2 linked regions of the Caenorhabditis elegans genome follow. The protein of the gene in region 1 interacts with the protein of each later gene in a pairwise test. Each region holds a gene or a part of one and is shown on either strand. Other genes may lie near its edges.

Region 1 (2,985 bases):
AATTTGAAGTTAGAATTCGAATTTTTTTGCTATTTTCACAGGAATAATTTAGTCGTTCTAATACCGTGTGAGCCGAACAAGAAAACAAAAAAAAATCAATTTTTCCAGACCTTTCCTGTAATGAAATATTAGGTTCTTATCTGATGACACTCTTCCTTTTGATAGTTGTGTTGTGTGAGTTCACGTGACTTTCCATATTTCTAATGGCCGTGGAAGAGAAACGCGTCGTCTGCCAGCCTTCGGGGGAAGACGTTGGTGCTGAAGGTGTGCTTGAGGAGCGCACATAAACTTATCGATTTTCTTGAAATCTTGATTTTCAAACATTTTAGTAAAATAATACATTCTTGAAACGCTATTTTCAAATCAGTTTTTCCTAATGTGCTATGTAATTGAACTGTTCAACAGAAAGTAATGATTGTCGTGACTTATCAGTGACTTTTTTTTCATTTTTTTTGTACCAACTAGTGGTCACCCATCATATTCTTGACATACACTTTATTGATCCAAAAATTTCTGTGTTTAACATTGTAATAGTTCTAAGAATCGGATAAAAAAACTTTATTTTCAGCTACGTTTTTTAAAGCAAAAGTGCGAAAGAAATTATTACACATTGAATTTTATTGTCAAACGATTTAATTTAGTTTTTTCTTCTGCAAGAAACTACATACAAATAGAACTTCATCTAGAAAATTTAAGGAAATAGTTTGAATCCTGACTATTACTATTATTTGCTAATTTTTTTTCTTCTTTTCATTCTTTCTACTACAGACATTTTCAAGTATTTCAGTGTAATGCAAGTTGAAGAACCTGTAATACTCTACAAACTTCGGTCAACAGATGGGCAGAGATTTCTGGCAGATAGGCGAACAATCGGAATGATAGGACGGATTGAGGACCTATTTAGAAATGCTGGATTAGACCTGATTCCTGCCGATCAACTGCAGCCAATTCAACTAGAAATCCCTGCGACAGTGATGAGGAAAGTGATCGAGTGGTGCGACCATCATAAGCACGACCCGCCCTACGACGAATCTGAACCGGAAACCAATGATATTCCTGACTGGGATGCGTCGTTTCTGATGGTGAGGCACAACATGCTCTTTGATATAATCCGAGCCGCGAGGGATTTTACTGTACCTGGTCTCTTCGCCATGTGCTGCCGTGTCGTCGGACAAAATCCTAGAGAGATTATTGACGGATTGGTGAATGATGAAGAGGAGGAGCAGCCAGTATATCCAGTGGTGGCTGCAGCGGCTTAGGAATTTCATTTCAGATGTGTGGTGTTTCGTATGGTATGGGAAAATTTAGACTATTTGTTTTCATTTCAGTAAATATTTGAAGTGAGAAAAATGTAATCATAAGATCAAAGTTGAGCCCATTTTTGAAATTTTTGTGATAATTTGGGCAACATTTTAGCAAAAGTATTCTTCGTCTTTTATATTTTACAGAAAAAATGCAAAAACCATACTAATTTTGTAAACAATGCAACTTTATTTTTCAAGTTTGAATCAAAAATTCTCTTCTCGATTCCCTACAAAAAAACTTAAATACAACCACCATACTTCTCAGCCACCACCACATTTAATGCTAATTTCCCGTGTTCAACCGTCTTGTATTCAATTTTATTTTCTCTGCTTCTTCGTTCAATTTATATTTTAAAACTTTCGCTGTAGATTTGTAATATAGAAAATTTGCCTTTGATCAACTTGACTCACAACGCCATTCACTTTTCTTCAAAAAATTTTACAATTCCAGTTTTTAATCGTTTCATTCCATCTTTAATAAATTCATAGTGTATTCTTCCAGCTCTTTTCCACAGGTCTATGATTCGCCAAATAAATAATAAAAATTACTTTAAAGATATCTCATTTATATATTTATTTTTGTGTGGTTTGAATCCACTCAATAATATTTTTGAAACAATTGCAAAACTATTTAATCAATTACCTTTAGTTCCACATCATGACCACACCACGATCTGCGCCCTTGTACAAACTGAAGTCAGAGGATGGTCAAATTTTTAATGTCGAACGAGGACCAATGAAATTTTGTGCATTTATCAATCAGAAGTTTATTGACCATGGAGTGAACGACAGAAATTGTGAACGAGCAGATCCAATTCTCGTTCCATTCCACTCATCGATTGTTCAAGCTGTAATAGAGTGGCTTTACCATTATCAGGACAACCCGCTCGCCCGACGAGACTCCAAAATTCGTTACCACGATTTTTCCGAATGGGACAAGCAGTTTTTCAACGTGGAATCGGGAGTTCTTTTTGCACTACTCAATGCTTCTCATGCGCTTGGAGTCGAAGATTTGATGAATATGGGGTGTGCAGCCGCAGCAGAATTGATTCGAGGAAAAAGCACGGAAGAAATTCGCAAGATCTATGGAATCAGGTCAGATGAAGAACAAATGGAGGAAGCGTTGGCAAATGGTGGAGAGGGAACATCTGCAATGACATTCACAACGGATTCTGATTGATGTTTAATTTCACATATTGTGAAGAAGATGTTTGAAAGAATATATTTATACACTTTGATTCAAGTTTATTTGTGAATAAATTATTTTACAAACCTCATAAATGAAAAATTGAAGTTATAAGAATGTAAAAGAATAGTTGGAAAACAAAACAAACAACTAAAGTGTCACTACTAATTAAAAAATTGCTTAAAATTAAATATCAAAGAACCATATGTAAATCAAGTTCTCGTTGTTTCAGAATATGAGGTGAGCCCCCAAATTACCGGATTTTTATTTCCGATTTTTTCTGATTTTGCATCCAATTTGGCCGAACTTGTACATTTCTGGTGTTTATTGCAAAATACTAGGTTTTAAAAGAACTAAACGTTTATAAACTTCATGACGGAATTGAATGCAGCGTTCTGATTACTAAATCTGGAAAATTTAATAGTGTGCTTTTTTTTAAAGTTTTTTTTTTCATCTGCCTTAATTTGCCCTTTTTTGTGGAATATTATTTTTCAA
Region 2 (4,062 bases), on another chromosome or scaffold:
ATACCTCATAGTTTCAATTTTCAAACACTTAAAAAATTTCCAAAACAAAATATTTTTTTTCAAATTTTGAAACTCTCTCAAAACTTGAATAATATGATTATATAGTAGCGGGAATCAATAATTTACAGCGAAAAACATGTATTTGTATTATTATTAATAGTATCCAAATAGCCAATGACTGGAGCAATGAGCCCCCATGGTGCATCGAAGGGATGTGTAAATAGCTGCAAAAATGACATATTTTGCGGTCCAGATCATTGTTATAGAACTCGTTACACGTTTTGGGCTTGTAATAAAATTAAAATTTGAATTTTGAAAAAACACTTTGGGAAATTTTTTTTTTGTGAAAAAATTTAAAATTTCTAAAAACGTTTTTAAAAAATTAATTTACAATTTTTGCTAGTATATTCTTCACTTTCAGCTAAAATTTCTAGAAGAAAGGTTCAAAATATGACAAATTTGTAGCTTAGAGCAGGAATAAATTCATTTTTCTTTTCAAAAATATATAATTTATTTAAGCACTTGATTTTTTTTTTTTTTTTAATTTTTTTTTTTAAATTTTTTCACTAAAACGACTAAAAACATGAACTTTCCATAAATAATTTTCAAAAAAAAGTCAAGTTTCGCTTTCGGTTGATTTATTTTCTTTACCGGAAGCGACGTTTTTTCAATGTACTTTCTTGGCTTAGGCTTATAAAATGTCTAGTTTGTAGTCTATTAGCCTTCCAGTGTTGATCAAAGAAAAATGACAAAAGCAAATTCATGAGAACGAGATGAACAACAATAAATTAAACAACAATTTTTGAAAAACCAAAAAACAAAAATTAAAATTAAATAATCAGCCGAGTTTCTTCTCAATTTTCACTCGCTCTTCAGTGACTTCAATGACATATTCAAATCCATTTGCCTTGTAATTGATGGTTCCGGTTTTGCCAGCGAAGGTAGGATCAAACTCTTGGAGCATTTCTTCTGCAATTGATTCACTATCATCTAATTGCTTGCTGACGACACAAGTTTCCAGCTTTGTAGACGAATTTACCAACTGAAAGAATTTTAATTAAATCAACTAAAAATTGATTATTGCTATACCTCTTTCAGATCATTTGGCGATACCTCTGGACTGGTGAATTCAATACTTGAAAATCCAAGAAGATCCGACACAGTAAATCCAAAGACGGAGCAAATGTTAAGATCAGTTCGCAATTGTTTTGCATTTTTAAACTGTTCCAAGCAAGTTAGTGGACGAATATCGTTGAAGATGCAACGCATAATCTCAAATTTCACAAGTGTTCCAGCATCGAAAGAACTGAGAATTAGCGCAGCTCGTGGTTTCTTGAATCCACTCAGAGAAACTGATTTCGCTCGGAAACAGTGAGCATCTCCAAACTCCATATCGATTGTTCTCAGGCTTGACCTCAACCGTTCATTGTGGACATAGTCTTCATATCCTCCAATTGAGTCGAAATCTAGACTGAACTTCTCAATCTGAGCTTTTGGAAGCTTCATGACATTGAACAATTTTCTGAGAGCAAACTGTAGTCCTTTATTGTAGATGGTTCTTCTTTCATCATCAGCCACGACCGGATGGAAAGGTTCATTGCGAGCGTTGCTTATTTCATCATAAGGCACAAATCTATACCGATAACGAAATGATTTTCCATTGAGAACAATGGTGTACCTATGGCCCTCAATAAAAATATCAATGTCCAAATCCAGTTTCAAGGTGTCGATGAAGCTTCGAAGATTTCCATTGGAATTGCGAACGGAAATCCTGAAAATATTTTTATTATACTTTCTAAAAATATAATTTTTATTTATTTGATCTTACCAATCGTATGGATGCAGTTTCTTCACAATTTTCTTCATAATATTCAGAGGCAAGTCAAAAAGCGTCGGCGAGCTTGTCTTCGATCTGAAAATGTGTTTTAAAAAAGTTATTTGAAATTATTGTAGCCTAAATAACTAACAATTTCATGGAATTCTGCTTGTCCGTCGTTTCACCAATTTCTGCTCTTTGGCTAGTCATGTCGACGAATTACCTGAAAAAAATTAATTTGAGTAAATATAGAAAATCACGTTCAATGTGTAAAAACGAAATTAATTTTTACAAAAACAGGTTATTTTACTTATTTTAAATCATTTTCAGGGGAAAAATCACAAAAAATTGGTTAGAAAAACGCATAAACCACATTTGAAAATTCAAAAAAAAATTTAGAATTTTTGTGCGTCAAATGAGATGCCCGGTACGCATACTGCGTACTCTGAGAGTTACCGTAGTTTGGAAAAGGATCTTTGTTAACTATTCGAGAATTCCTTTTAAAATATAGAAAAACTGGGAAGATTACAAAATATTAAACGGAAGGTAACATTCAGCCGTAACCCAAATTATTGGTTTAATCAGTTTCAAAACAAAAAAAGTAACAAAATAAGAATTCATGTGACTAGTAAAACAAAAGCAAATTTTGAAAAATGAGAAGATTATTCGATTTTCTTCACAATTTTAGTTTCGAATTCAGTGACTTCAATGAGATATTCGAATCCATTTGCTTTGTAATTGATTGTTCCGTTATAGCCAACAAAGTTCGGATCGAACACTTTGAGCACTTCTTTTGACACCGTTAACACTCCACTATTGTCCTCATCATCGCTGTCTTCATCACTATCTTCATCGCTGTCATCCTCGCTGTCATACGTGTTCCTGCTGAGACAAGTTTCCAGCTTTGCAGACGAATCAACCAACTGAAAAAAAATCTAAAATTAATTAATCAATAATTAAGAATTTCTATACCACTTTCAAATCAGATGACAATACTACAGTTGTGAATTCGATATTTGAAAATGCGAACAGTTCAGCAACTCGAATTCCGGTGTAGCGATCAGTGGAAAGTCCAGTTTTCAGTTTTTTCGCATTCTTCCACTGCTCCGAAAGCGTCAGCTGCCAACTGAAGTAGAACTTGTAGGAATTAATGATTTCAATGTTCTCGAGAGTTCCAGACTTGAAAGATTTGAGAATGAGCACAGTTCGAGGTTCCTTTAGTCCACTCAGAGAAACTGATTTCGCTTGGAAACAGTGAAACTCTCCAAACTCCTTATCGATTGTTCTCAGGCTTGCACTCAACAGTTTATTTTTAAAACTAACTCTTCTGGAACCAATATCGTAGATATCTTCAAATTCGTCACTTCCTCTTCCCATAAAGTCAAAATCCAGTTTGAACTCTTCAATTTGGGCACTTGGAAGCTTCATAACCACGAACAATTTTCTGAGAGCAAACTGTAGTCTTTTATTGTAGATGGTTCTTCTTTCATCATCAGCCACGACCGGATGGAAAGGTCCGAAGGATTGATTTCCATTGATATCAATGGTGTGAAAAGTGCCCTCAATAGAAACATCAATGTCCAATTTGAGGTGCTGGCTGTCGACGAAATCTCGAAGATTTCGATTGGAATTGCGGACGGAAATCCTGAAACTCATTTGGTTTTTTTTTAACATTTGCCTAACATTCAAAATTTGATACCAATCGTATGGATCCACTTTCTTCATAACTTTCTCCATAACATCAACTGGCATGCTTAAAAGCGTAAGTGGTCTTTTCTTCGATCTGAAAATAAGCAAATTTTAAACTGAATCCGATGCAAATTTCATTTTAACACTAACAATTTAATCGATCCAGTTTCTTTGTCATTTCGACAATTCCACGAGATGAGCCAGTCATTTTGACAAATTACCTGAAAAATAGGAAATTTATTTGATTGATTCAGTTTTCAATCGTTTGAAGTGAAGAAAACAATAAGAAAATACGGATAAAGTGAAATATCTTTGTAAAATACGTTACCTAACGGTAAAATAACAAATTTTCCAGTAAATTTCGTGAAAACTGAAAATTTCTTTTCTGTCTAATAAATTTTCACAAATAAAAATCACAAAAACGACAGGAAAAATGCAAAAACTATGTTTGAAATTTTGAAAATCCAAAAACAATAAACTAGGAATTCTGTGCGTCAAATGAGATGCCCGGTACGCAAGTTGCGTACTCCGAGAACTACCGTAGTTTCGGAAACTTT

What was found.
Region 2: the proteins of skr-20 (region 1) and fbxa-101 interact in a two-hybrid assay, tested with the Caenorhabditis elegans proteins (one large-scale study listed by BioGRID).

Annotation. Positions count from the first base shown.
Region 1 is NC_003284.9:13,222,515-13,225,499, reverse strand, and holds skr-20 (Skp1-related protein), read left to right. Parts: upstream 1-1,962; coding exon 1,963-2,484; downstream 2,485-2,985. Other genes in the region: skr-19 (Skp1-related protein), read left to right, coding at 792-1,259.
Region 2 is NC_003279.8:12,957,894-12,961,955, forward strand, and holds fbxa-101 (DUF38 domain-containing protein), read right to left. Parts: upstream 2,040-4,062; 5' UTR 2,027-2,039; coding exon 1,968-2,026; intron 1,913-1,967; coding exon 1,829-1,912; intron 1,772-1,828; coding exon 1,090-1,771; intron 1,043-1,089; coding exon 839-1,042; 3' UTR 747-838; downstream 1-746. Other genes in the region: F08A8.5 (Galactoside 2-alpha-L-fucosyltransferase), read right to left, coding at 1-9; fbxa-140 (F-box domain-containing protein), read right to left, coding at 2,479-2,739, 2,789-3,461, 3,516-3,568.